2 linked regions of the Mytilus edulis genome follow. The protein of the gene in region 1 purifies or fractionates together with the protein of each later gene. This does not show direct contact. Links are inferred from orthologs where the notes say so. Each region holds a gene or a part of one and is shown on either strand. Other genes may lie near its edges. The genes, in order: chromodomain-helicase-DNA-binding protein 1-like and aprataxin and PNK-like factor.

Evidence for each region.
Region 2: the proteins of chromodomain-helicase-DNA-binding protein 1-like (region 1) and aprataxin and PNK-like factor purify together in Homo sapiens (affinity purification with mass spectrometry; 4 studies listed by BioGRID and IntAct, counting the BioPlex papers as one, with this or other methods). This does not show direct contact. The link is inferred for Mytilus edulis from reciprocal best matches to the Homo sapiens genes CHD1L and APLF.

Annotation. Positions count from the first base shown.
Region 1 is NC_092350.1:3,583,008-3,599,443, reverse strand, and holds the start of chromodomain-helicase-DNA-binding protein 1-like, read right to left. Parts: upstream 6,570-16,436; 5' UTR 6,477-6,569; coding exon 6,392-6,476; intron 3,478-6,391; coding exon 3,362-3,477; intron 3,088-3,361; coding exon 2,981-3,087; intron 1,996-2,980; coding exon 1,878-1,995; intron 1,453-1,877; coding exon 1,339-1,452; intron 735-1,338; coding exon 581-734; intron 1-580. Other genes in the region: uncharacterized protein MAL13P1.304-like, read right to left, coding at 11,634-14,302, 14,688-15,345. UniProt on the Homo sapiens protein: ATP-dependent chromatin remodeler that mediates chromatin-remodeling following DNA damage.
Region 2 is NC_092346.1:42,451,575-42,467,635, forward strand, and holds the start of aprataxin and PNK-like factor, read left to right. Parts: upstream 1-7,216; 5' UTR 7,217-7,481; coding exon 7,482-7,577; intron 7,578-15,145; coding exon 15,146-15,217; intron 15,218-16,061. Other genes in the region: testis-expressed protein 30-like, read left to right, coding at 1,989-2,223, 2,805-2,853, 3,384-3,796. UniProt on the Homo sapiens protein: Histone chaperone involved in single-strand and double-strand DNA break repair.

The sequences.
Region 1 (16,436 bases):
AAAATTCAAGTTGAAGAAAAAAGAATCAGAAAACACATTCCATGGTTAACATATTTACATGAAGCCTGAAAACAAATGTCAGAAGCATTTGTGTGTAGTACCTTAGAAATATTTACAGAATATAACAAGTATTGCCAGTATGTGTATGTAACAATATAAAGAGGTAGTTGATGAGAAATGAATCTGAAACCATGTCTCACAGTATAGCAGGTTGACAGAAGCCTTGAAACAAATTTCAGAAAAAAAATTGGGACACTATTATTTCTAATTCCTTAGAAAAATATGACAAACATTCATTCATGGCCATAATGCAAAGAATAGAAAAGTATTGGTATACAAGTTGATGATCAATGAATCAGACACCATTTTCTCTATAAACAATCCAGTGATTTGTTGATCGTGTTCATTAAAGGCAGATATCTGTTTTTGTGATTTTTAAGTTTTATAGGGTTTCATTACAATGAAGGTTTTGATTTCAAAGAAATTTTGTTTAGACAGGTTTCTGTTTACTTATCGTTCAGATTAGACAGGTGTCTGTATAACATTTTTTATTTTTAAAGTTCAGTACCATCCAACTTACCATTCTTATCCATGTCACTGAATTTATCGACAAATTTTTCTTGACCTGATTTTCTAAATTTTCTTGGTGCTATAAAACTGAGTAGTGAATACAATTCCTGGAGGTTGTTCTGCACAGGTGTACCTGTTAACAGCACACTGTGTGGTATGTCCCACTGTAAATACATAATGGTCTAAGGTAATATACATGTAATTTATAAACCCAACAAGTATTAAAATGTGTCTTAAAATACATGACATTTTATTTCATTATAATGGTTTTATGTGAAATAATTGCATCTTGTTTTTTTTTTCTCTCTCTTTTTGATAGAAAATTAAACATTTACATTTCCAAAGGCATTAATTTAGCTTTATTTCTTTTTAGTATTTGTATTTCCACAAATTTACACCCTGCACAACACAAGTGTTAAAGAGCATGTTTTAGTACAAAAAGGAGGGAAACCTCTGAAAGCCAGCCGAAGGACGCCTCCGGGTGCGGGAATTTCTCGCTACATTGAAGACCTGTTGGTGACCCTCTGCTGTTGTTTTTTATTTGGTCGGGTTGTTGTCTCTTTGACACATTCCCCATTTCCATTCTCAATCTTACTTTTCATTATTTGTATTTAGATAATACATATCAACTCAGCTATTTTTTTTTGGAAATGTCTCAGCTTTGCAACAAACAAGCCAAGATATGCAAGTTTAAGATATGGGCAGAGGAATTCATAAACAAGGCTATCCTTTGTGCCTACCTAAAATGAGTTTTACCCATTAACAAACCTCTTTCAGTGTCAGATGAAGTTGTGATTCATTGTTCTTTAGTCTATGAGCTTCATCCACTACTAAACACAACCATGGAATAGACGATAAAAATCCACTGTCTTTCAGGCATAACTGTAAAATGTATAAATAAAATGTCAAAGAGTCTGTTTAAACATGTTAAATGCATTTTGTTGTTGGATAATTTACAATTTTATGTTTTTCATTAAATCAATTTGTACATGTGTAATGTATAGAAAAATGGGGACATAAAACTTCCTATAGCTTCTGTATGTTATATCTTAAATTTCTTTATTTTTGACTCGGTTTACATTTTTGCAGAAGGTAAGCCAATGTATGGCAGTGTCTAAGCTAGCCTAACAATAGAGGGAGACAACTCTTCGGGCTTTTATGTGTTCCCCTATGCCCTGTGCATTTTTGTTTTGATAATGACCAGACATAATTTGTACATGTATCCAAACTCTGTTTTCAGTTGCCATAAATGTTGTATGATCTATTAAATGCAAGCCATATGAAGACATTAAACAGTCATATAATACCTCATATGTTGTGACCAGTATATTGATATTATGGGATTTATTCTTCATATTCTGAGCTAACTCGTTCCTCTTTTCTTTGTCTCCTGTATAACATAAAACCTTCAAAGTCGGTGCAAACCTACAAATTTAAATAGAACAATTGAGGTGCTTTTAATTACCCTTAACTCCCTCAGGCAAAGTTGGCTACAGATGAATTTGGCTATTTATTTTCTAAAGGTCTTTTTGACATATAGCTCTTCAACAGTTTTGGTACTTATACATCTTTGGATTTCAAATGTTTAGTTTTGAGCGTACCTGATGAAGGTAAATCCAGAAAAGCTCTTCGGATGCAGGAAATTATTAAATGTGTTGTTTTCAATTTTTTAAATAGTATTTATAGATTTTTTTTGCCTTAAAATATTAATCAAACTTTTCCGATTCAGTACTGATATTCTGACAAACAGTTGCTTATTGTTTGGGATTAGAGGTATTACTTTTCTTGTTGTGTAAATTATATAAAGACGTGTATATAGTTTGATTGTTTACTCATCTGACTAAATACGTAATGCATATAAAGACGTAAGAAACATGTGATGTTACAATATGTTATGTTAACAACATAAGTAATTAGTGTCTCTGTATTGCAGTTAATTCGTAACACTTATATATACCCTTAAATCATGTAAATAATAAATATTTATTCATAGTTTTTTATGTCTGAAAATAATAATCAATCAACAGTTCAATTTCGGAAGTGATGTTCAGACAAACAGGAGCAGATATAGCTGTTTTTAAAAGGGGGATTCCAACAATATGTCACCATTCAAAAGCATTGAATGCAAAACAAAAGGAGAGTTTCAAATCAATTTAAGCAACTTTATAGTATGTCTACTGTAATTGAACAAAGTCCTATCTATATTAACCATGTGGACAACACCATGAACAACAAATATCAAAATGTGAACAATACATAAGGACCATCTAACAGCCATTTTATAATCATATGAATGGATGGATTTTAGGGGGATAACAGGTCACCACTTGACAACTACTTCTATCATTGGTTTCTGTCATATGAATATCTACTCTAACTTATTGTCTGAATTTTTCAATTTTTAATTTACCTCTTAATTTCTGCATCCCAGTTTTCTAACACAGATCGTGGACATACAACTAGACTTGGTTGAGCTTTCTTCTTTGACCTCTGATTATACAGAATAAAGGCTATGGTCTAAAAGAAAAGAAATCTGTGAATAGTACACCATGTTTAGTAAAATACTCAATAAACGTGATACATGTATGCATGACCCACAACCCTAGAATTTAATGTTCGTCCCGTAGAGCTTTAAATTGTAGCTTCTAAAATTACCAGCATATGCCATTATTGTATATCAATTTAACTCTTAAATATTTTGTAATTACTATAATTAACTGGCTTGCATCTAAAATAGATTTAGTTAAAATTACCATAAATAAATTCATCAGATCTTATGTGTTTGCAATACCTGACAAGTTTTACCAAGACCCATTTCATCACCTAGGATGGCTCCATGCTCCTTCTTGTAACAGTCAATCAACCAGTTCACTCCGGATAACTGGTAAATTCTCAGAGGAATACCATCTGCAAATTAATATTTGTACATAGTTTATTTCGTCTATACACTTAATCCATTGAATATGGACCATAATTTGGTATTCGGCCTTTGGTTTCTTTTTGTATCCTTTCTTATAAGTTCTAAAATTTTAACTTTTATTTTGTGGGTTGTGTTGGTGTTAGAATAGTATGAATGGAACAATTGAGTTTTTCGAGAAAAAATTAATACATTTTGATTCACCGTTTACGTGACAGGAAACCAAACAGGAAACCAATCTTTATTTTCTTTATTTTGCACAATATAATTCAAAAGGCATAAATAAACACCATTACTAGTGTTACTTGCTTCATGTTAATATTTAAAATCTATTTTCAATGTTATATTAAAGTTTTTTTTAAACGTGACAGGAAACCACAAGAAACCAAAAGCATTTTTTTAGTTTTATTTTATTGCAAAATCTGCTTAAAATAATCTGAACAGTATACTTTTTCTTAAAATCCATCTTAAATGTAACATTATAAAACTCCTAAATATGTGCTTGTTTTGAAAACAATTAGTACAATTTATTCAGAATTTTCCATATTTTCTTCATTGATACAGGATACCATAATCGTTGTATCTTGATGTTTTGGCCAAAAAAATATATTTATATTTGGTTTTGAAATTCCAGTTATATAAAATTTATTCCAAATCATTGGCAATGTAAAATTCTTTAAATCCAGTAAAGAAAAAAACTTTTAACTTGGAATTAAAATCTTTAAAATAGGCACCATGTGATATTTGTGACCTGTACACCATCTACATGGTTTCCACATTTTAACCTACTTTAGTGGGCTAAAATCAATAAAGTACTTCCTTTCAAGTCATGCCCGGTAAAAGTTTACTTTTCCTTTGACAAGTTTATTGCGTTTCTGAAAAGTGTTTGCAGAACATGAATAAAAAAATTAATTAAAAATTGTGACAAAGTTACCAACTTTGTACATTCCAAGTGTAACGGTACATTGTATATTAACATGCATTTTTCATTTAATTATCTTTATTCACCTAAAATATCCAGTAATATTTACTGCTGAAGCAAAATCAATCCAACGAACATCGGCACCATGATAAGAGACGTAATTTCGATTGAATTTACCAAGGACCCTTTACATCGTTATTGGGAAACGTAGTGTGTTTAAACGTCGGTCAAATCTGAAATCGATTTTGTCAAGTCATTGGGCATTTATTTTCACACAAGATCGTATGTAACATTATGCACATAGGAAAAATAATAGACCCCTGGCGCAATCTCTTTGAAAATTATATTTTCCTTTTTTTAACAAGTCAAAACAAGTCTACAGATTATGTTTGCTAACATCCCGTTGGAAACAAAAACAATGTTTAGAACTACCGGTAGTATATCGTATGTCCGGCTGTAATGGCGTGATCACATGTTAGTCACATGTTTCACATATGACCGGAAATGATTAGAACTTAAGGACAAAAACAATTTTAATAAATAACTGGACTTCTGTTTCGTGTGAAATGTAACGCATAACGATAACGTCATTTTCTTACCTAATTATTATCAAGATCAAAACAAGAATGTAAATCATCTCTGATTTACCTGTTTGAACATCTCGCGAGAGTTCATATTTGCATATTGTTTTTAAGAATTCTATTACAACAAAGCAGATTACATCATCTAAAATTTGCGTTACGAAATCGGACACAAAAGTCATCCCACTGTTCTTACATCTGCTACATAAATACTTATAGTTCTCAGCATTTTCTTCTGACTATTCTTATTGGTCGATGTTCTTTGTTATTTGAAAGCAAAAGTTACGAATTTGCCGGTGACAATTATCTATAAATCAGTCAGCGTTATGCTCTTCGGAAGCAAAAAGTAACGTGAGAAACGACACAAAAATACGGTTAAAGAATCTTTGAAATTTGTATATTTCAATTTTTTTTCTAGGGAAGAGTAGCATACACTTGTATGTTGATAAAAATAATGGCATCTTTAGATGTAGTTACAACTTTTCTTACAGTAATTCACAATTTTATCACTTTTCTATAGTTATAGGAAACGAGCCCAATAGCAAATTATGGTCCATATGTAATGGTTGATATTTGAGTCTTTGATACATGATTTTAGCAGCTATTGTATTTGGACTTGGTTTTAGCATGTTTAGTAAATTCTTTATTTTTTGGTAAATAAATCTCATATATACATGTAGATTCTCATTTGATTGTTTTATATTCATCATGTTAGAGCTGTTTATAGCTTGATTTTGCTTATTGCTGTACAGTCAAGAGTTTCAGACATAAATAAACAACTTTCAAGTTCGATGCATTTCAGTCAAAAACTTTGGTGTTAGTGAATATCATTCGTGCGTTTAGGGGTGTTGCCACTCCCGTTCCAATGTTAAGCGAGTGGTTGGAAAACTATAAAGCTATATCATGTATATTGCACAAATTATTCGGCAAATTAAGTTCTCATAATAGTTATTCAGCACTGCTGTCATTAGGGAATTGTGATTAAGTACCTACAGATCAAATATTTTTTCTAGTTTATCCTGCACAATGACGATCACCCAGACGCTTGATGTACGTATATGGTGCAGGGATACAGGTGATCCCATCTATCTGGTAAATGACGTCATAAAGGTGCGCATAATTGATGATTTTTTTTCAGGTAACGGACAAACTCAAAAGTGGTCGATTATTTTATTCTAATTTAAGTCTAAATTTGCTTTTAACTCATAGAGGTCTAAATTTGTAGGTTTCAAGATTTGTCTCCCTTTCATTTAAGACAAATTATGACTTCAATAAGTCGATTAGTAAAAGCAAGAACTATTTGACCTGAATTAAAAAGTGATACACGGCCGAAACGACCTAGTCTGAATCAACAAAAGACGATCTGTCACCAGACTAGGCCGAAACGTCTTGTTTTCTTACCTGCCCATCCTATCGCATTCAAATCTTTATTAGATTTAATATATTTCTCTGTGACATTTTCATCCTCGCTGTCGCTTATATCCATCTGGATTTCGTTTAAATATTTCTTAAGAGTTCAGAATATTTTGTTGAGCTTGCATTTTCCAGGGTACTAATATAAACAAAAGGGAGAAAACTCGGGTTACACTAAAGACCTGAAAGTGGACCTGAAAAGACCTGAAAAGACCTGAAAATATACGACTAAAATTATTCAAATTGCAATAACTTTTTTATTATTGAATGGAATTTCTTCAAGTTGGAATTTTATTTATTGTAAATATTTATATTTCATTAAAATTTAAAAAAATTAAATAAAAAACAAGTTTTTGATGCCAAAAGTTGGACCTGAACGGAGAAATGAAAAGACCTGAAGGGACCTGAAAATCTATGTCGGACTAATTCTAACTACAATAACTTTTTTAATATTCAATGGATATCTTTCAACTTTTGATTTTGTGACACAAAAAGTTCAATATAATGATAAAATTAAAAAAAAATATGAAAAATACCATTTGGGTGTGAAAACTCGGAACTGAACGGAAATTTAAGTAACATAAATTTGCTTGAAAAGACTGCGGTCAGATTTATTCAATATCTTTAACTGATTTCAATCATTCTCCTTGAAATATGAATTTTGTTATAGGAAAGGTATAATATATCATTGAAATTATAAAGAATCTTATCGAAAATATAATTATTTAGTTACAAATTTCGGACCTTGTCGGTGAAATAAAAGACATGAATGGATTATAGGGGTAGTTGTATTTAAACTCGCAAAACATTGTTTTCCTATTTGTTTCTATTTTAGACAAAAGTCTATTGAAGAGAACGAATGACTTTATATTTATACAGGAACATATTTGAAAAGAAACTACATTGTTATTGATGAATCCTGAAGCTAAAGGGGGAAAAAAGGAAGATTGTCCGTTGAAATTATTCAAACTAATACAACTTGCTTAAACTACATTAATATATATTTTATTCTTATTCTATAGTAAAGCTGGTCGTAAACTGCTTTATTTATAAAATGAAAGTATTAGTATTGCTTCCCCATAAACCATATGTAATTTAAAGAGTTCGTCGATTGAAATGTTTTAATTACATGAACGTGTGCCGGTTGTAATTCACACCTTGTATTCTGTAATCTGTAATCTGTAATCTGTAAACGAATTTCTGCCAATCAAGGCACACCTCCGTAAAGAGGAAAGTAGTTCCGTCAATGAAATTCCTCCACCAATATATGTACACAGGTAAATTCACAGTTCACAATAGTCATACACAAGGTTATCTTATTTAACATACATGTTTACGCCACGACAGTGTTAAAAATATTTCAAATGCAATTAAAATGGTAAAAACTAATTTTAAAATAAGTTAAAAATAAGTTACAATAGAGACAATAAGTACAATTATATATTAAAAAAAAGTTTATTTTTTAACACTGTTAAAAGGAAAAAAAAAGAAAAAAAGGAAAGTTTATAAGTGCAATCCGTAAAAAATTTAATAGACTTTAAAACTTCTAAAAGAGGGAGATCCATGTGTACCCCAACATGTATATATTACAGCTAAAATGAGTTCACAGTTCTTCATTTTCTGTTTGCTTTTGTATCAGCTTTTGTCAACACATCATATCGCTTGGAATGAAGTGTATATAACAGTTGGCGACATAGCGGTACCAAGTGATTACCAACTCTATCTTCAACATCCTTGCACATCTTCTTTGGTAGGTAATGATAAGGATTAATGATTAATGTTATTAAATCAATAGGAGTTTGCAGGCTCTCTCTTGCTAAGACCAGACTACCTTCGTGTAGAATTTTGACGATAAGGGATGACCTTATTTGTGAAATTGTTTCACACAATAAGATAAAATGTTCAATGGTTTCGTCAGCTTTATTACAGAGTCTACACATCGGATTTGTTGCATAGTTTGAATACTCCGCTTTATTAGATTGTAGTATGTAGGTACCCGTAATAAATTTAGTGCAGATTGACAGTTTCTTGATCTCCGTTATATTTGCACTTGTTGTTTTAAGTAAAGGATGAATTCTGCCAATGTCATATTCACAATTAAGATATTTTAGAGTTGAGTACCCCTTCATTTTGGTCTTTATGTCATCCTCCCAGTACTTGTGAATCTTTTTGGTTATAAATCTCTTCCATTCAATTTTTGTTAATGGCTTATCAAGATACTGTTCTATCTCTATGATGTCATATTTGCCACATATCTTTTTTAGATCAATAAACCAGCTATTGCTTGAGTAGGTTTTAATTTGAAGTTGTCGTTCAGCTATTCTCCATTCTAAGGACGATCTTTCAGATCTGGTTATATTCCCAAATAGTGTAATAATTTTAATATGGATCTCTGCTTCAAGTGGGAGCAAACCTGATAACATATAGACAGCCGGGTCAGCCACATTTAGTTTGAGAGATAAAATCTGTTTAATCCATCTTTTATGTTGCTGTTGTATAAGATCTAAATTTTTGCCTGTTGGTATCAAGACTTCTAGGCCGTAGGTCAAAACTGGCAAGATATACGTTCTAAATAAGGAGACTATTGTTTCCGGGTCTAATCCATTTTCCCCATGTAATCCAGCACCCATAAGACTGTACATAGATCTTCTGGCCTTTTTTATATTTTCAGTGATGGTTGCATTAGTAGAATCTTTTTGAGATTTTTTTATTCCAATATGAGAGGAGTCTTGGACAATGGGCATATCTATATTTTTAAGTTTCCAAAAACCTTGTTCAACATCTAGCATTTTATTACATGTTTTGATTGGCAAGACTACGCTTTTTTGAGGCTGTAGTAGATATCCCTCTCTTTGGCTGAAATCAACTGCTAAATTTATCATATTTTGGAGTTCAAACGGATTGTTAGATATCAAGGCAATATCGTCAGCACAAGTTGGCGCACAACAGTTTATATTTCCTATTTTGGCTCCCAGTCCAGAGTTGCTGAGAATTTGTAGTAGGGGGTTGATATAAACTTTGTAGAGGTCAGCGCTAATGGCTCCACCCTGTCTTACACCTTGTTCAATATTAAACAATCGATTTGACATTGTATTACCCCATTTTACACAGGATGTTGCATTTTCATATAAATTGCTGATCAGTAAAATAGATTGCTGTGAGAATCCAATTTGGAAAAGACGTCGTATCAGGTTTTTATGAACTACAACATCAAAAGCAGATTTTCCATCCAGTAATGCAACATAGGTTGGTAACTTGAGATCTTTATTTTCTCTTTCAAATTCCTCAATGAACAATTCACAAAGCAATGGAGTGGATTTTGCCGTAAAACCTTTTTGTAAAGGGTTTTGATGTTCCAAAATCTTATTATTTTCCCTTCCTTTAATTATAATCTCTATTATCTTTGAGTAAGTTGGCGTTATAGTGATCCCACGGTAATTTTTAGCATTCTTAATGTCACCTTTGTTTTTGAAAACAGGAAAAAGGGTTCCAATTTTTAGTAAATTTGGTATGTAGCAGTGTTCAAAACTTGTGTTAATTAAAAGTTGAAGATACTCTAAAAGTGTTTCGCTGGCATAAATGAAATTTTCAGCAGTGATTCCATAAAAGTCCATAGCTTTATTTGTATTTAATTTTTTTACAGCATTTTTCAGTTCTTGGATTGAGACTTTTTCATGTAAATAATTTTCCTTACATATTTTTAATATTATTTCTGTTTCAACCTCAACTGCTTCTAAATGATTCTGATCAAAGTTTTGATAGTTAGATTTTTTGGCAAGATCTCCGAAATGTTTTGTCCATCCTTCCAATACACTGTCAGATGTTTGATATGTTTCATTTTCAACTATAAGTTCTTCAATAAATCTACCCATTTTCCCCCTCTGTTTTCTAATTAGCTTATAAAATAATGTTGTATCACTGGATTTAGCATCCAAGATTTGTTGTCTAGTATTAATCCTTTCTAGTGCTTGCTCTTTTCTACATAGTGTCCTGAGATCATATGTGGTGATTGTTTTTTCCTTAAGATAGAAGTTACCAGGTTCTTTTGGTCGACCTTGTTGTTTCCAAATATAGAAGGCAGTTTTCTTTCTTTTCACAGCGTGTAAGATTTCGTCATTCATCACTGGAAGTTTCTTCTTTTTCTTACCCTTTTGTTTTCTTGGAGCAATTTTTGAAGTTGTATCTGATAGAATTTTGTTTAGTTCATCAAATGCTTGATCTAAATTCAATTTTTCTGAGATAGGTTTGATTTTCTCTAATTTATCATCAATCAAAGTTTTATATTCATTCTTGTCCACCTTATTCCAATTAACTTTGAGGTTTTTTGTATTAGTAAGTTCTTTCATCTTCTTAAAGGATATGTCACATTTCAATGACAACATCAGTGGAGTATGGTCAGAGACGTTGCTATTTATTTCTTGTTTTTCAATCTTGATAACATTTTCCTTATAGTGATCTTGAAATAGAATGTAGTCTATTGCGGACATGGCTTGACCACTTGGGTGTATGAAAGTAATTCCACATTCAACTGTTGAAAGTTTATGTTCTGACATAAAATTGGATATGGCTGTTTTTCGTTGAGAATTTGTTGAACTGTATATGTTTTCATTGAGATCTCCACCTATTATAATTTGATGAGAGTTTTTAAAGGTTTCGAAAATTTCATGAAGGTGGTCCAGACATTCATTGAGTTCAGTAAAATGGTTATTAGAGCTCCTACATGGCAGGTAGACAGATATTAATATAGTATTGGGATTACCTCTAATTTCCACACATTGTATTCTTTCATTCCCTAGCTGCATTGGAGTAATTATATCGTCTAATTCACGTTTCCAAAGGATAGCCACTCCTCCGTAACCTCGAGGCATATGACTTGGTGGAATGGGATCATTCATATCGACCGCTTTACCAGTTCCATTGAAGTTTTTATGCAGTTCTTGTAAAAGATGTATTTGACAATCAAAAAGCCAATGTTCCTGTATAAGCATTATATCAATCTTATTCTCAATCTCATGTATAAGAGGCACAGTAGTTAATATATTTTTACAGTTAAAATCTAAAACACTCAATATATCCTTCTCTTTTGTAGACTCACAATTATTACTGTTATCAATTGCAGATTTTGTATTAAAATCTAAAACATGGTGCATATTATTTACATTGCTGTGTTTATTTACAGTTGAACATTCATCAGATGAAGCATTAACTTGCTTTTCTTTTAAGCAGACAGTTATACAATTTTGTGCCTCTCTGGAATGAGGCTTTTCTGTACTAAAAAATGTTGCTGCTGCTCTTTTTGTGTATAAAATAAGGGTTGTCCTTGCCGATCGTCATGATACTGTTCTAGGTATTGATATACGTCATCATTATACACAGGTTTGATTCTTTTCTCAGAGACACATTTGTTTCTTATATCAGCACTTTGATTGGAAGAGGGGTAGCAAAGGTGATTATTTGGGTCTTGTGCTGGAATAATCTCAATAAGATTTGAGAGAACTGCGCATTTTCTTGATGCATACATTGAATAGTTGGTCTGATGGTAACCATGTTGCACATCATTCTGTCTATTATGACTGTTACTCATAGAACAATCAGGAGAGACGTTGTGGTTGGACCCACCATCGCTCCCCTGATGTCTATAAGCATTTTGATTCGATGGACCTGCACAGTTTCTTGGTTCCTGTGGAGTTGAATACTGATCATAAGTATGTGGTTGATATGTATAAATTTGTTCATCTTGGGAGCTATGACATTTGTCACTTGTAGGACAATCAGGAAAGACGTTGTGGTAAGGCCCACCATCGCTTCCCTGATGTCTATATACACTTTGATTAATATAGTCATTACGGTGGTATGGTTGGTTTGTTCCAAAGTCTTGATAATGAGAACTATAATTATAATTCCTTGTGGGATGATCAGGAGAGACGTTGTGGTAAGGCCCATCATCGCTTCCCTGATGTCTATACATATATTGATTATAATAGTCATTTTGATAGTATGGTTGGTGTAATTGTGTTCCTAAATCCTGATAATGAGAATTATAAGAAAAATTACTCGTAGGACGAACAGAAGAGACGTTGTGGTAAAGCCCACCATCGCTCCCCTGACGACCATGAGTATCTTGTGTTGAGTCATCAATATGGTGATATGTTTGATTCATATAAGGCCTGTGATTCTGGGAATTATATCTGTTATCACCTGAGGAACGATCGTGAGATAAATGGTGATTGCCATATGATTGTTGTATATTTGGTCCGTTACCCAATGGATTATAATCAGCTGCTGAAGAGGTAAGCTTCTTATTTTTGTCCATGCCCAGAAGTTGCGACAGTTCTTGATCCACTTTTGTCAAAACATATTTTGTTACCCTGTCTCTTATTCCTACCACAATGTCATCACTGCTGTTTTCCTCTTTCATCTTAATTTTACTATCAATAGCTTGATTTAATGTTCTAATTGTATGTTCCAATTCAATATTCTTACTTTCAGCCTTTAGTATTCTATCTAGAAGAGTGGTCTTTTCTGTTGCATTTTCATTTAAAATTGCCTCTTTTATTTTCAATTGCTCTTCCTTTTTCTTTAGTTTTTGTTCTATCTGCCTTATCTCTTTGGGAATGACAGTCTCCTGTTTGTTGCTGTCAGGCTCATTAGCTGTTTGGTTATTCTTATTTGCTTTTGATGAGGATATAGAGGATTTAACATTGGTAGGGTTGTTATAGAGATGTTCTTTACTTTTGTCATCTACATTAGTGAGGGTCTCTGTGGTATTGTCATGGCTCTTTTCAGGTTTTTCTTTCGAGATATTTAATGAAAGTTGATGATTGGCACCTATACATCCATAACAGGTTTCTGTGTTTTTGTCAATACATTTACTATGGAATGCATCATTACATATCATACATGTACACTCATCATCGAGAATGAAGTTACAAGAAGGGCAATTTTTGCCTGTTTCTTCACGGAGGAGAGATTCAGCAATAGAGATATGGTCATTAGAGATCACATTGTCTTCAAGAACATGTTGTTCTATGGCCAGAACATTATTCCTTATATGTAGATGTTTAGATATGGTACTTAGATCTGTATTTTGGATATCAAGTTTTTGGACTGTTTGGGGTGATGCATTGCATTCTAAAGTGTGTACCTCATTTTCCTTGTTACATGAACGGCAGGAATATGGATAATCCCCCTTTTCCAGTTTTGAGATATCCTCCTCTGATAGTCTTTCACATCTGTAATGAACCCAGTGCCCATTAATACATTGAACTGCTCTTGTTTTGCAGTTGCGCTTACATACATAGCATTTCTCTTCTGTACCTACAGTGGTACTCACATTGCTTGGAGTTTCTCTATCATCAGTCACATGATTTGGTACTGGCCAAGTTTGTAGAGCTTGTTTGAGTGTATGAGCAAGTTTTTTATTTAATATATGAATGTCAATACAGGAGTTATTAATTTTTGTATTATCCATAATATGTTGTAACTGTTGTAAATCTCTTTCTAATAGCATTTTGGTATTGCCACCATTGATAAGTAGGCTACATTTGGTTAAATATGCATTAATGGTATATCCTAACGATGGACTATCAAACACACGAAATATGTGTTGAGTTTCGTTACCAATTCTGTCTTTCATTGTTGTTTTATTGAAACTATCCAATTTAGTAACTGGGTTTTTGTAATATTGATCACAGGCATGTATAAATAGTTCGAATGAAATGGGGTCAAGCTGTATAGTTATACCTCCTTTTGTAAAGTTGTACGTGATTTCATTTCTATTTGTGCAATCAAGTTTCTTCTTTAGAGATTTCTTTAAATTCAAGACATAGCTTTGGTTGTATGCAGTAGCATCAGAATTTTTTGACGAGTTGTTTTGGTCATCATTGTGATGTTGCGGAACTGTTATACACAAATCCATGATTTGATAATATTGTTTAATTTAATAAAGAATCAAGCAACTTTATGTAGAATAATGAGCTGTTCCACGTATATATATTTATATATCAAATTCAACAGATGCTAAGTTACGTCCATACAGAGTCTGATATTAGAAATAAGACTACTAATTGTCAAACAATTTATAATAAATCAATACAAATAGGACGTTGTGGTAGGACCCACCATCGCCTATAAGTATAGATTCAGTAAATAATAATAGATTTATATTGTAGAATAAATATGAATACTGAATTATATTACACTACCTATTGCCAGCAATCAGTTCTAATCCTGTTTGAAATTTTTCGCAGCCAGACTTTTGAAAGGTTGATTTTCGGATGAATACCATCAATATATAAATTAAAGTTGTATAAATCTCTTGGTCGTTTGCGACTGTTTTTTGATTTACAGGCTACAGAATGATATATGTCAAGGGAGAAAGCTGGTGATCCTACATCAACTAAGTTGTTAAGCTGTCGAATTTGCTGATTAATTTCAATTATGTTGACAATTAATGAATCGTCCTGATTTTTAAATTGGTTTGGACTTGGGTGATCGTGAGATTTGTTCCACTCGAAAATTGAAAATATAGGAATTTCCAAAAATGTTAATTTACATATAGGATAAGCTGATAATAATTCTTTTATGTCTCTGAAATTATTTATGACAGTTTGTACCTCTTCTTCAGGGTTTGGTCTTAGAGAGACAAGTTTTGAGCTGCGATCATAAGAGGTAAGGTCACACGTTCCCAACCAAACATAAAGAGAAATGTTATCCAAGTGTCCAATTTTAGATGCTAAGTTGTTTTTTAGCCAGGCAAGACCCTGTGATGAAGTTTGGCCTGATTTATACCACCACTTAATGTTTTTTTCAAAAGCTGTAGTGCATTGATTTTCAAGATATCTTCCCTTGCTATCTGAAATAATCACAGGAGTCAATGATGCTGGACTTGTTGGGGGAATAAATTCCTTTTTCAAATATTTTTCTAGTTTATGTTCTGTCATCAGTATATACTATCAGTGAAAACAGAAGTTATACAATATAAGGGGTACACATGGACATTTATTCAAAAATTTAAAAAGTGCGCCATTTGCAAATGGCGGTCATCACAAAAAATAGTCCGACTTCAACAGTCAAATTCTATAATTTTATTGATAAAATCTAAAAAGAAATGATGATTAATCACTAAGAATTATATTATATTGAATAATTAAAGGTTTGGATTATAACAGGTGGGGCTTTAACTGCTTTTAAAGAACAAGACGGATTGCCTTCGCGGGGGGTAAATTACACGAGGTAAATTTGAAAAGGTATAAACTCGTCTAATGTTTTTTTAAATGTCAAATTTAAATCTGCGCCAATGATAAATGCGTGTAAATGTCACCAGATAATAACACATAAAGTTCTTTGAAGCTCTGAAATATGACTATAAACAGAATATTGATATTAGGTGATAATTGGATCATTAGTCTAAATAAACAATTCTTGTAAGTTGTTTGGAACAAGGATCTCTTATTGAATTTCCCAAGATGTTAGGCCTTCCTTCTGACATTCATGTTAAAATACATCAGAGAAAGATTGAATGTGTTTGCTTATGTGGGAAGCCTGATTTATACGAAAATATGATAGGGTGCGAAGCAAAAAGAGGAAGAGTTACATGTAGCAAATGGAGTCATCAAACGTGCGCAGGGGTTACCAGTGATTGGTTTTGTGATGAACATAGGCAGTGTATTTAACTTCATGAATATACAAACATTATATTAGAGTAAGAGTCAAGTTATATGTGATTAAAGTAGACTGTGAATAATATTGCATTTTAATGTTTTTTAGTTTTAGTGTACTTTTACAGTATGTAAACGCATTTTTCTAAAGGCAGATTTTTTTTATTCAATATTTTAATTAAGTATTTTTTAATACGCTATTATTCTAAAATATTAACACTTTTACAGTATGTGGAGTCACTCAGTTTTCTTTTTAATGAACAAAAATCATTTTTTAAGTATTTTTAAGAGGAATATTAATCTTGGATTAAACTTTTTTTTAGATTTGTATTATCATTTTGTTTTTATAAGCGTAATTACATGACAATTAATAA
Region 2 (16,061 bases), on another chromosome or scaffold:
AAACATTAAATAGTAGGTTTTGACAATATCAAAACTTGCTTTATCACTTGTATTTTGACATTTCTTTAATTAATGAAGTATTTTTTTCCCTGTTCACAATGAGATAATTGAATAATTAAATCTGGTCTATGTTATATAATGTGTGACTAACAATGAGCCAATTCTCCATCCATGTCATAATATGATTGGGAACAACCCCTTAATGTTATAAATATCCCTTTAATGAGGGGTCAATATCAATTATAATATTATAGTAAAAAACTATATATATCTATTCTATCTGGTATCAAATGTTTAAAACATGTGATGTCCAAGAATTTTGTAATATTCCTTGACTTTAACCATGTTAACACATTTACTGTACCAGTTTAATATTATTCAAAATAAGTGGACCCCTCTTTTAGAAAGTTGTTTAAAATATGATTTATTTCTCCTCTTTTTGAATTAAAAATTCTAAGTTTTCCAAGATTTTGTATTGTAGCACTATACAAATCCTTGATATTTCTATTTTCTTTTCTACATCAGTAAAATGACCCCTTGTCTGAGGGAGGGTTGTTCCCAACCTGATAATAACAAACAGAGGCCAAAATACGGCCTTTTACACAGGGTTTTGATCAAGACCAAACAGCAAGCTATAAGGGACCCAAAAATTATTAGTGTACACAACTCGAACAGGAAATCCAACGATCTAATTTATATATCATAGTGGGAAAATACCAATGAACCAAACATCAAACCATAACTGCTGAACGAAAGGCCCCTTAATCAATCAGGGCAGGTGCATAAACATGCAGCAACTATGGATAGTTTTGTTTCGCCAGCATGCAATATAATTGCAGTTGAAGGCAAATCCTTCAGAAGTTCTTTGTTCTTTATTCTAACAACGAACATTTTTTGATAGGGAATATAAGTAAGGGGGAAAGGAACCAATGTTTTGTTCTGTACAGGTATTTCCGCTGTTAAATATTTATATCGGAGCACTCCCTCTTGGAATAAATTGGTTTCATGCTAAAACAAATAATGTCACAGATATTTACACAGTGTGTTGGGGTGCTTATAGGTTTAAAATCATTATATACACTCAAGGTTAGACTGCAATTTTAAAATCAAATGTTGATATCTTTTAAAATATTTACAAAAAAACAGTGTAGGAAATAGACATGATTACATTTCCGGATGCGGGAAGCAGGAAAATAAAAAAAATAACAAAAATTCTGTTTTGAAAAAAATAGGTGCGGGCGGGTCTGTCGAACAAGGAATTAAATTGGTGTGGCCTAAGATAAATTGTGATACTTATATATTATATAAGACATCTTATATAAAATAAAAGTGTTATGAACTGGCTGTTTCTGTATTGGCACTTGTATAGATTCTCGGGCAGCTCTCTCGAGGCCAATACAGCAAACCTTTAATCTATACCAGTGCCAAAACAGAAACATTATGAGTTAATAACACTATATTATAACTATATATATATATAATTTTCTTTAAAGATTATTTCATTAACTACATGTATGTGAGATATCTTACAAACTTTAAGAGATATCTTATAAAGTATTTAAGATATCTCATAACCTTTATGAGATATCTTAAATTTACCTAAGATTGTTAGGGATTGTTTGCTGTCATCTATAATCTGCAACATTCCTTAAATTGCTGACTGGATTTCTGTTAAAGTTTGAATCTTTAGTTTATAAATGCCATTGTGGTCTCCCTAGTATTGACCCTAATTTCTGTTTTGTCAATAAATGTCATCTATGTAGTAGTAGAGGTATGAATATGTCAGCTCTAATATGTTTTTCCATGTGTATTTCTATAGTGCTCAAATGATTGCACATAACAACTGAATTTCAAGTTAATGTATTTGCTTTTCAGCAGTAAATATCCAATTCCTCCTCCAAGTTGAAATGCACTATATCAGACCACCAGCAGAGAAAACTGCTGGGCAGAATCCATTTTTATTTACGTAAATTATGCCCATATTACAGGTGTATTACGATAGAATTGGGAAAGAAGAAGTATGAAGCCTGCCTAACTTATTATAATGATCCTGCTAAGATTGGCTATGGAATTATACTTACACATGGTGCAGGAGGGCACATGAACCATAAACAGCTAGTTGGTATTGCAGAGAAGTTGGCTAAAGCTGGATATTTAGTCTTACGTTTTACCTGTAAAGGATTGAACCTTGCTTACAGGACTAAAGTGTTTACAGGAATAGTGGTAAAGACAACTTTTTTTCTGAATTATAATTTGACATTCAAAAGTTTGTATTTTCTGATGAATTTCAAAGTTGAAATTTCTCTTTTCCAATGAGATTTCTGCATAAAGAACGTATTTTATTCAGATTTCAAAAAATAATATGGATTGAAAGTTTTTATTTTTCAAAATTGACGTATATGTTTGAACTGTGAACAGATACTGGTAAATGGGCAGAGAGTTACAATTTATTTATTTAGTCTAGTATCAAAGATAATCAGTATTTAATTTATCTTCTGAAAATCATGCAAGAGATATGTTTCTTGGCATCATGAATTACGCAAGTCAATTAAGCCACTTTGACAACTTTGTTTTGCAAGTTATTCAATAATTAAAAAAGTTTTTGCTTAAAATATTTTCAAACAGTTAAGTTAAAGAAACAGACAAAAATGGTTTTAAAAAATTGAAGCCTTTGTTAATTTAAAGGAAAAGTTATTTCAAAACTGAATGGTGACTTGTTCTGTATTTTCATGGGAGATAACTCATAACTTGTGTTTCAAAGAAGGAAAAGGTTTTGTCAACTACATGAAATTTGTATATTTCAGGACTATGTAAAGGAGAATTATCCTCATCTGAAGGGATGTTTTATTGGAGGTAAGTTTCACAGATATAAAGTATCACATTCATTGTACTGTTAGGAAAAAAATGTTGTTTTAATAGCTTAGTAGTGCTATTTAGAATAATTATACAGAAGCAAAATGAAATACATATAATTAAAAAGATGTGGTATGATTGACAATGAGACTACTCACCACCAAATTCTAGAATTATTTTTTTGCTTTGAAATGCAATCTTACAACTAATTTAGCAAAACTAAGTATAATTCCTAAAAGAGTCATTATTTTTTCAGTAAACCAAAAGTTTTAATTTTGTCTTCAGGTCATTACTTGTATAAGGTATACACTAAACAATTCCCATATGATATATTTTCATTTCTTGTGCCATACTCAGAATGAACAGGTCAACAAAAACGTGCTGTTTAATTTATTTATCTTTTATCACGTTCTTATATAATAAACCATGTGTATCCATGTCATCTATATAGTACATTTACATATTGTGATAAGCTTAAGATAAACAAAAAGGGCATAGTCATTATAATTGTATACATTAATTGGTTTTAGGACGTTCCATGGGATCAAGGGCAGCTGTTGGTGTTTGTTGTGATTCAAAGATGACCGATTTTTTACAAGGTGTCATATGTTTATCATATCCTTTACATAAACCGAATGACTTCAAACAGTTACGAGATGGTCCACTTAATGATGTCACAAAGCCAGTCCTTTTCGTTAGTGGGACAGATGATAATATGTGTGATCAGGAGTTGTTTTTACCTGTCCTTGATCACATGACCAAAAGTCAGGTGCACTGGATTGAAGGAGGAAATCATGGACTTGAGATTAAGGGAAAACCCATTGAAGATATAGTTCTAGAAATAGATCATGTTATCAGAATTTTTATTTTGGAATGTCTTACAGATAAACTTAAGAGAACTAAAGTACAGAAGGCTGTGAAAAAGAAAATAAAAACTCAATGAAATCTTTATATTGTGTTTTCAATATTTGCTTTCTATGAAACTAATGATGTTGAATAAAATAAGGTGTTTGGTATAGGTCAATGAGACAGCACTCCAGAATACAAATATAATTGAAAAGATATCAAGGGGTCAACACACATTCTAAAAACATTGTGAATAAATGAAACAAACTATCAAATATTTGCAATCAACAATAAATTCTCTAAATAAAAAAAATAAAAAAAACAACAGTAGGATTTGACACAAGCAAATGAATATGGTTTATTTTTATGCCCCACCTACCATAGAAGAGGGGCATTATGTTTTCTGGTCTGTGCCTCTGTTTGTCCGTCCCGTCCGTCCATCCATTCGTTTGTTCGTCCGTGCATCCGTTCGCTTCAGGTTAAAGTTTTTGGTCAAAGTAGTTTTTGAAAAAGTTGAAGTCAAATCAACTTGAAACTTAGTACACATGTGTCCCATGATATGATCTTTCTAATTTTAATGTCAAATTATAGTTTTGACCCCAATTTCATGGTCCACTGAACATAGAAAATGATAGTGGGAAGTTCAGGTTAAAGTTTTTGGTCGAGGTAGTTTTTGATGAAGTTAAAGTTACATCAACTTGAAACTTAGTAAACATGTTCCCTATTTTGCTCAAAATAGAACATAGGGGTTAATTACAAGTTTTGTCTGTTATTTTGAAAACCAATATGAATAGAGAAGATCTGATGAGTCAAAAATGTTGAGAATTTTGAAATACTACAGTGTACCATTTTGCTGATTATTTTGAAAACTATAATAGATACTAGTAGAATGATTTTTATGCCCCACCTACGATAGTAGAGGGGCATTATGTTTTCTGGTCTGTGCGTCCGTTCGTTCGTCCGTCCGTCTGTCTGTCCCGCTTCAGGTTAAAGTTTTTGGTCAAGGTAGTTTTTGATGAAATTGAAGTCCAATCGACTTCAAACTTAGTACACATGTTCCCTATGATATGATCTTTCTAATTTTAATGCCAAATTAGAGTTTTTACCCAAATTTCACGGTCCACTGAACATGGAAAATGATAGTGCGAGTGGGGCATTCGTGTACTGAGGACACATTCTTGTTTAAAAATAATCATCAAGACAAGATCTACAAATATGTAAACGTGCTTAAAATGTCCGACCCCTCCTTTTTAAATGAATTGATCTTTAATTATGGTTTAAAACAATTTTTAGAATTTTTTCCTGTTAACTTAAAAACTGCTACAGATCAATAAGCTCAATTAGCAAAATTGATTTATAAATAAGCATTCATAGCTGAAATCTTAAGTCGACTCATGATTAGAGTTATTGCCCTTTCAAGATGATTTTACCATTTTTCTGCGTTTTTGCCTTTTATCTTGATTTTAATAGTCTAAGAGACAAATGAAGATAAAAACTTTTAAAAGAATCAATGATCAGCAGGACAAGATCTACAAATACATCAACATGACTAAAGTGGTCATGACATTAAAATTGAATGACATAAAAAAAAAAAGCAGCCCATGCATGAAGCCACTACTGCATATCAGAAAATGCTTGTATGATATACAATACAATACAATATTTTTTTTTTTAACTTTTTCCAAATTAAAGGGCCCATAAAGAACATAAAATTAATATCAACATGACAAACATTTCAGAGTGATTAAAGAAACATAAAATAATAGTTCAAATACCTTAAAGGAGATTTCATACAGCAACATCACATTTAAAACACTACAAAGAAGACATGTGCATTTTTAAGAATAGACAAAAAAAAAAGAAATATTAACCATTCAACCTGGCTTATACAAGTTATCAAAACACCAATTTGGTTTTTGATGAGCCTGCAACTATTGTTGCAGAAAGCTTGACATAGGGAAAGTGATCCAGTGGCAGCAGTGTCAGCGTTAACTTACTTCTTTTAAGCTTTATATTTTAGAAGGTTGAAGTTTTGGATGTTTCATATTTTGTATATAGATGCCTTATGTTAAGAAGTTTCTGTCTGCCATACGTCCATTATCCTCGTTTTCATTTTTCAGTGACTACTTGACAAATGTTAAGATTTTTTGTAATGTTAATTTCTCTCTAATTATGGGTAATAGGATAACTTTATTTGGTATATGTCTGTACTTTAAATTGCTTGTCAGACATTTTTCACTTGACCTTGACCTCATTTCATGGATCTGTGAACAAAGTTAAGTTTTTGAGGTCAAGTTCATATATGAGATACTATAAGCAATAGATCAACTATATTTTAGTATATGGAATGATTGTAAGGTGTACATGTCCAACTAGTAGGTGTCATCTGACCTTGACCTCATTTTCATGGATCTGTGAACAAGGTTAAGTTTTCGTGGTCAAGTCCATATAATTATCAGATACTATAAGCAATAGATCAACTATATTTTAGTATATGGAATGATTGTAAGGTGTACATGTCCAACTAGTAGGTGTCATCTGACCTTGACCTCATTTTCATGGTTTAATATTAAAGTTAAGTTTTTGAGTTTTGATCTTTTTTTTTAATACTTTATGTAATAGGTCTGTTAAACCTAATTTATTTAACCAGTCTTTTACAATATTAACCCATTTACTTAATTTCTCTACATTTTTATATATTTTTATGGACTAAAGTGTTAGGTGAGTTCACAATGTGGTTTATGAATTTTATAAAAGCGGAATTTTAAAGTACTAAAAGGTTCTGTTTGTATCAGCTTAACAGGCTTCATTTGTTGAGGGGGGTAGGAACTTTATCAGGACTCCGGGATCGGGTGTTTTTAAGCTTGGGATTTCGGGATCCGGGAATTATTTTTTTCTAATTTTGGGATGTCGGGATATAATTTTTTTTAATTCGGGACCTCAGAATTTCTTGTTTTTAAGCCCTGGATTTCGGGATCAGGACCTCCTACCCTCCCTCTTTGTTGTTTTGCACTGTACACCTAAAATTTCTTTAATAAATTTTAAAATATGTAAATGTTCAAATGGATCTAAATCGTTGAACACTTGGCTTACACCTTAAACTTCACTTCCATAAAGAGTTATTGAAACAACTAAAGTATCAAATAATTTTTCAAGCATATCTAAAGAGACTATTTTTTCAATTTTAAATCAAGCCCTTTTCCATGACTAGTATTTTGAATAACTTCCTGAACAATTTATAGTTATTCCAATATTTGTTGTAATTAAACTGAAACCCAAATAGAATCTGAAAAAAAGATAATATAAATTATTTTATACAAAAAAAAATCTTTTTTCTTCTGATGTATTATTTTGAAAAATGCCAAATAAAAATCGGGGAGACTCCCCGATTTGTCCCCCAATGGCCTCTATGACAGTGAACTAAAGATATATACATCATTAATTGCTGCATTTGAATTACAGTTGTATGTCAGTTCTTGTTTAGTTTTTGGTTGTAAGACATATCATAATCAAAGCTCTCTTGGGTAGGAGTTACATTTACTACACGCTAGAAGACAGGTTACCCACGCTGATTAAAAACTTACAATTATTATACTGTGCAAACTGACACCAATGCAATTAATTCATTACTTTGTTTGTTCTGCATTAGTTTAATGCATCCGTATTTTTGCAAATTCAACCTTGACAGGAAGTGAAGAAACAGCTACACGATCATTTGCAGCGCAGAAAAGTCGTCAAGCAACGTTTTACTTTCACCCTCTGGCTCCAAAAATTATGCCACTATGTCTATAATTACCCTTGTATCTTTGGATGACGGCGAGACTATAGATCTCCCTGAAGAAAAAACTATAAAAATTGGACGTGGCTCTTTCTTGAAGGTAATACAAGTCTGAAAGTGATTCTATATTTGCAGTTTGAGCTAAATAATATATAATCGGTTAACAAATTATCTCCCTTTGCATATTTAAGAAAAAATATAGTTTAAGTTTCTCAATTATTAGACATGTTAGATGAAAGTGCAATGTTTAAGGTTCATCATAAGGAATTGAAAAATATGGCCGTGTTTACACCTCCAAAATTACTATGAGTACAGACAAACTGGTACATCCAGGAAAGTTTTAAGGCATGGCAGGAACTAGATATATAAAAGTTATATGAAGTCTACGTTTCAGAAAATTATAAACTTACCTGGATTTTGATTTTCATTTTTTTCCAGTCTGCAGAAGATAACAAAATAAACAAACACCTGAGTTTCATTTGATACGGTCCACTCAGTTAAACAGTTTAAACCTGTTAAATCACCTATTGTTTACAGGTGTCTATTGTCCATCCATTGTCCATTTAAATCAATACTACTCACAACATTGATTATATGAGGGGAGCTTCTCAATCGTTTTCACTACTTAGTTAATTTTTGCACCTTCTGCAGGAACGAAAAAAAATGGGTAGCAAAATCTAGAAAAGTTTATAATTTTCTGAAACATAAAATGCATTTAAAATTTATATATCTAGTTCCTGCCATCCCTTAAAACTGTTGCAGGTGTATAGGTTAGTCTGTACTCAGAGTAAAATTTGGGGTGTAAATACGGCCATTTTAGCCAAAAGGTTATGATGAACCTTAACTTAGCAGACAAAACTAAAAACAAAAAAGCCGTTTAATTGTGATAAAATACTATAAAGAAATCATCATTTAATATTAAAAAAAGAAGATGTGGTATGATTGCAAATGAGACAACTTGACCTCCACAAGCAGGGGTTCAAATTAGTGGTGGTCCGAGGTCTGTGACCTTCCACTATTGCAATCAGACTTTTGATTTGGTTACAAGCTACGCCCGACGGACCTTCAATTGGAAAGAAAATAAAAATGTGACAGAGTTGTCAAGCCACAACTGGAGATTTGGAAATTTTCAGCTGGAGTTTTGGTCTCATAACTGGAGATTTTTTATCGACGTACGCAATGGGTTTTTTTGTGTGTTTAAACTGCATATTTTTTTTGGGGGGGGGGGGGTTAAAAGAACAATAATTCCATACCTTTAAACACCTGCATATCCATTTTTACTTGATCAAAATCTTAGCTGGCTACCATGTTATATATATCTAATTGAACACCTTTTTAACACTTTTTATTCTGGATTACAAAAAAAATGACCAGAAAAACCTTAAGTGATCGTCGAATCATCCAAAAGTTTTGAAGTTACACAGAGGAAGTAGTGCTCATTAGGAATCCTTGTGTAGTTAATTATGACCTGTGCTTTTGGCTAAGATGTCAAAAAACAATTGTATGAAATATTTAATCGCCAAAAATCTCTTAAGACAAGTAGTTTAGATGTCCCAAATGGCAAAAGTCGCAGGAATATTGCTCGTCATCAATACATAGTACAACTACGTCAGTATCTATTATATAATAAGTTCAACTGTTCATGCTGTTGGCAGCAATTTCAAATTAGAAGACAATTTTTTTGTATCTTTTCAATTTGGAGACAGGGGTGCAAATTAGCGGTGGTTTGAGGTCCGCGCACTTCCACTTTTGCACGCAGAGATTTGACTTGGTTTCTAGCTATGCCAGACGGAGTAACCTTCCACTTGAAAGAAAATAAGAAATAACTTTGCAAACCTTTTCACCAAAGTCTCCAAATAAACGATCTAAAAACTTATTTTCATCATTATAATTTATGACAGCGATGTTCATTTTGTTCAACCGCTAGCTTTATACAGAAAATCGCCGACAAATAATGTGTAAATTCGAGTAAAATCTTATCTGATTGACAAAAACAATATTGTAAACACCAAAATAATGGCTGCTGTGAAGACAAAATTTTACCATATCGGATCTGATTCCGGAAGCGGATAAGGGCAATTCTGGGTTTTGGCGATCAATTATAAAAAAATCCAGGCAGGTGACGAAATACATCTATGCATGGTAAATGAATATAAACACTAGACTGCTAGAATTGAAAACCAAATGATATGTTTAAAGAAAGAAAAAGAAGAAAATATTTTATACAGACACTCAAAATTACTTTTTGACAAATTTTAATGTCAAAATCCAATACAATGTGACAGCTGGGAACAGTATATATCTATTAACAATATATATGTTCATGGTCACAGTATAAATTTTCTTCATCAGTGATAAATGATGATAATGCATGTGAGATGCTTTTAAAGTGTAAACATATTACTTCAATTTTGAAGGGTTATTTTTTTCTCAATTTTGAAGGGTCAATTAAAGAAGCTTGAAGTTTCTTACTTTATTTAACTATATTATATAATACCTGAATGTAAGCAAATCATATGATATATAGGTGGCGTCCTTTAGGCCACTCTACCAAGGGGTGGGGGTTCCAACTATATGTACCCATTCAGATGCATTGATCGGCACAAAAAAGGGGGATTCCAACCCCCAGCCTCCCCCTGGATCTGCCAATGCTACCCCCTCCTGTTTGATAACTTGGAAATAGTCGAGATTCCCACCCCTAAACCATAAATTCAAGTATAGGACAATATGATAAATCAAATAAAATATAGGGGGAGTCCCTGGAGTCACCCACCACTTCTGTTTGAGAACTTGGAAACGGTCGAGATCTCCACCCCTTAACCATATATATTCATGTTTGTGACAATATGAAAAATCAAATGAAATATAGGGAGAGTCGCTGGGGGTCACCCCACCCCTCCTGTTTTTGAATTTAAAAACGGTCTAGATCCCAACCCCTAAACCATATATATTCATGTATGGGACTATATAAAAAATCAGATGAAATATAGGGGGAGTCCCTTGGGTCACCCCAACGCCTCCTGTTTGAGAATTTAAAAACCGTTGAGATACCCACCCCTTAACCATATATGTTCATGTATGGGAAATATAACAATTCAAATGAAATATAGGGGTCACGTACCCTACCCCCTCCTGTTTGAGAACCTGGAAACTGATGAGATCCCTACCCCTAAACCATATATATTCATGCATGGGACAAAATAACAAATCATTCACATTTACTATGTGCAGGTCAGACTTCAAACTTCACCTTTGATCCAGGTAGTACATGTAGTAGTGAACATTTGTCTGATTCCTGTCTCATAACTTTTGTACAATAGAACACAAACTCAGTTTTCTTTCCTGGGAAACCAGTCCATTCATACTATTACATTTAACATGTTCGTACTAAGTCAACTTCGTCGTGTGAATATTATAATGTTTTATGTCCCCTTTTTCTAAAACTGAGAAAATGGCATTTAAAGTTGGACAGTCTGATATCCAGTCATATAAAACAAGAGCTATGCAAAAAGTATGCGTAATACTAGTTCCAACACATCTGATTAAATTGTCCTTTTCAGAAATCTGATCAAGTATATATTATTTCGGCAATTTCATATTTCAAGTTTGGAGATAGTACATTTTAATCTTGTGATAAGTAAAGTTGAAAGAATTAAAATGGTATTGGACATAAAACATTATAATATTATTACTGGGCAATGTATATGCCATTAAAATTGAATAAAATCGGCAGTAGAAACAAAGGCCATACACAATCTTGTTGGTTAAAATAGTGTCTTATGTTTTCTTTGAACTATATAGCTATGCCTGCAAGGCAAACTGGACGTATAGTTCTTCTGTCTATGCGTCTGTCCTTGCAAGGTTAAGGTACACGTTGACTTTGTCTTTCTTAATAGAATTTCAATGTTAAAAAACCAGGTTAAGTTTCAGGTTTAAGTTTTTGATATAAGAGTTATGATATCACCAAGCAGCTTTGTACATAGATAGCTTATGATGTGGACTGTTTGATGCAAAGTTGATGCTTGGGTCGTAATAAGTCAAGACTTATGGACTTTGTCTTTTGTAATAAAAAGTCAATGCTAAAGACCCAAAGTTAGGGTACGGCCAGATCAAGTTAATTGATAGATTCTCATCCACCTAAATTGAAAATATTGGGTTGAGTTGGACTCTTATATTTTATTTTTACGTATTTTTATTACAGATTCCAAAGAACTTTGTAAAAATACATAAAAAACCTAATTGGTTGGAACGGATGGGGATAAGAATGTAAAAATTAATTTGATATGATCTTAAGGTTAAGTCTGTAATGGGTCTGTGTCTGAACAAACTGTTAGTCATTTTAAATACAGATCATTGGCGGGCATGTAGTGTCATTGGACATTCTTTTTCTAAAAGGACAGTAATAAAATGACACATAATAATTAGACAATGACTTTATGAATATAAAACTAAAGAATTACAAAAATGGCACCTTTACTCCTTATAGGATGCTGATTTATAAACAAATCATAATTAGCACATCATCATAACAGTTGGACATTAAGTTCATGACATGATATGAAAGGGATCTGTATATGTTTCAGCTAAACAAAATGTATATTTTTTGCTATTATTCATTAAAAAGCTGTCACTTGGACCATTTGAAAATTTCTATATTTTGTCAATAATATTAATAATAATTAATAATAATAATATACAGACTATATTTATGTATGAAAGTGCCATAAAGTCCTATTAAATTATAATGCCCTCATTTCATACTATCTCCATTGGTAAACTTTTGTCATGTGACCCAGAATCCGTCAATTTCATTGGTTTGTACTTAGATCACTATAATTCTGAATACAACATTGTATTTGGAGATATATCATTTTAATACTACTGTTTTAGGCAAATTTGAAGATAATTAAGCCTGGTTAAATATATAGGGAGATAAAACATTGCAGCACGAAACTATTGACACCCATAACTCATTTCCACTGTAAAATGGACTTATAACATTATAATATTCACACGACGACTTGTACTACTAGTAGTCAACTAAAACCAACATTAACTACCAAGTAGAATAACTGCAATCATTGTGAACTTGTACCACTGCAGACTCACCATAAAAACTTGATATACATTGATAGATGCATTGCTTTTGAAACCTTGATAACATATAAATTATTTGCCTTATAATTAATTCATTAGATAAACATAAATATACTATATATGAATGTTTAATGTTGAAGCAACATTGCCATAGTTTTCATAAATACGTTTGCCTTGGTTTTTGGTTAACTGCCCTCAGTGCTTACAGCGCTTTGATTTTTTTAATTTTAGACAAGTATTTTGCAAATTCAGATAATAGACATTTGTAATAAAGCACAAAATGTCAAAAACAAGTATGAATGTTTCAAGTTAAACAATAATATATGAATACTATTTCGAAAGACAGATAATAATGGATCACAGCTTATAATGCTAAAAAGACATGTTTTTCAAAAACGATATCAAAATGAACAATGCCAAACCAACTTAAATTTCACAGATATTTATTAATTTTATAAAATTAAAAGAGTTAAACATTATTTTAGAACGATAAAAGTGACACGCACATGTATATCAGCATCAGCAAATAAAACAATTATACTATGCATGTTAAAAGCTGGTGTTTGGTATAAACAGTCAGAGCTCAGACATAAATAAGTCTGATTCTGCTTTTGACTCATAGAGGTCTAAATTTGTAAGTTTTAGGATTTGTCTCCCTTTAATGTAAGACAAAATACGACTTGAATAAGTCCAATATTGTTAAACAAGAAATAATTGACCAGAATCAAAAAGTTGCAAATATCGACTCCTACAAGTCGATGAGTGATCAAAATTGGTTAACTTCAAGACCCACGCATATTTATAAGGAGGTCATGCATCTAAATCAAATAATGACAACATTGAAAGCCAATACTTTGTCTTCTATAGAAAAATATGAATGAGAGTCTAAAAAATCGGAGATAATGTTAATTAACCTTACAATGCAACCACCTGGAATCACACTTAATGAGGTAAAACATCTGTGTTTAGTAAGGATGTCCACTTAGATAATTAAATATAGATAGCTCAAGTCCTTGTGAACTCTCATACAGGTTTTTGCTGTCATAGGTGGTGTAGTTTGGCCACAAAGTAACATTAAGTTTTTTCACCAACATAAATAGACCTAAACAAGTCTGTCATTTTCTGACTTAGATAAGTCTAAAATTGAAACTACATTTTTATAATAAATACATGTTTTGACTTATTTAAGTCAAAAACAAAAATCGACTTGTTTATGTCTGAGCTCTAACTGATAAAACAAATATTATTGAAATATTATTTTTACGGCATATTCCACAAGGCCAGAATATCATATTTGCTAAATCAGTGAGGTTAACTTTTCTTAGTGACAGGCATGTTAAAACCCTTCCACGATCTTTAAATGTCAACAAGTATTTAATAATATACAAAACTTTGAAGAGTTCACCATGCAGTTGCGAATATTAGACCTCGGGCACTGATTTTTTTTTAATAACGAAATATACGTTTTGATTGAGGACAATATCCTTCATGATTCTTCTTTTTCCTCTTGTTCATATTTATGGCTTACTTATATACAATTTTGAAATCTAAAATGTAACAACACTATCTATACACTTTTGACAAAACAAGCAATGATTTATATTTTTTTTTTATTCAGGAAAACACTTATTGTATTATTAAATTTTTTTTTTTTTTTTCTCTCTGGCGCTCCTGGGTGCTTTTTAGTAGGACCAGATGGACAAAAATATAAGTGGTAGATTATGTACACAGAAACATATATTAAACAAGAGATTGAAATTTCCTTTAAAAGAATGTCAAAGGGAGATCATTTTGTCTAATCTTGTCACAAATCCCAAGGCAAGACATAGATATGATGTTTCCAGTGTCGTCAACAATGTTTTGTGATTAGGTTAGTTTATAGGGAATTGCTAGTTGTAGATCAATGATATTTGGTATGCATATGTATTAGCATTGGCACATCTCATTTCCATGGAAATGTTTTGCCCTGTAACTTCAGTCATGGTTCATTGACTGAATAATTTGCTTCACTTTTCATGTTAGAAGTATTGCTATTTTAATTTTAACACTTAAAGAATGTTGGCATGGTTGTAGTGGGGGAGCAATTTTACATCTCCCATGCAGCTACTTTCTATGTTTGAAATCTTACAACACTCATTGTTTGAAGAAACATTTCTTCAAACTTTTCAAGGCTTCACCGAAAGAGAAGGATCAGTGATGTTTTAGTATATATCTTATGTATAAAATTGCTCCCCTACTACAACCCATGCCAACATTCTTTTAGTGCCTGTCCCAATTTAAGAGTTTAATGGTCATGGTGGTTGTAATTAATGGGTCCATGTCTATCATATTTGGTTTTTTTCAGAAATTGCTTTGTTAAGCTTTAGATTTCTCAATAGAATAGTTTCATATTTTGCGGGCATGTCTTGCCATTTTGATGGTAACATGCAAATGTTGAAATTACCCTACTTGATTAATGCAGTGACACTAGTCCAGATCTAGCATTGGTCTTCTTATAAATTTTTTTTTTTGCAACTGTAATGAACACTTTATGTAGCGTGTACCAGTTTAATAATATTTTGTCTTTTGCAGGTATCTGATAAAAGAGTATCCAGAAATCATGGAATTTTAGATGTAGAAGATAATAAGTTATATCTAACACCTGTGAGTATAGATGACATATCTATAACCCTGACTTATCTAAAATTATAAAACTTAACAAGATTTATTTATATTCTCTGACAGGATCTGGTGAAATTATAGAATTTAGTGAGGGCTATTCCAGAAAAAAATGTATGGGGGGGTTGGAAGGCACATTATATTAATAATACATGGGTGATGTCTATCAGAGCAACTTTTCACACTATAATGCACTATAATTCTCAATTACAATTGTCTGAGTGGCGGGTGCTGACAAAAACTGCCTTCCAACCCCCCATACATTTTTTGCTGGAATAGCCCTGATGCGGTTTGAACAGTAGACACCAAACAATTGACCTGAGAATCTTCTGCAACTAATTCGAAAAACTGGCTGATTCTAAAGATTTATAAATATTCCTGGGATACTGCTTTTCATGGATTTTGTATATAAACTTGGAATTAAGATGAACCAGGAATTTAATGTTGAATGAATATCAAAATGTCTATAGGCATGATATGTTTGTACACAGAATTTTGAAAAGCCACAAAATCAAACATCCTGAAAAATGCAGTTTCTTTCAATCCACAAAAATTAATAGCAGCAAAAATAAATGAATATATATCATACTATATAGAACTTCGACTAAATTATGAATTGATTAACATATCTGTATAATATTCCTCACTGAACTGGTTCTGTTCAAATAGCTCTGTAACATAATAAACAAATATCAAAAGCATTACATAATTATTTGATGTCTACCTCTCAACATTGTTGAGGGGGGATAGAACCTTTATCAGGATTCTGGGGTAGAGTGTTTTTAAGCTCAGGATTTCTGGAATGACCCTTTTGGGATGGAAGAATTTT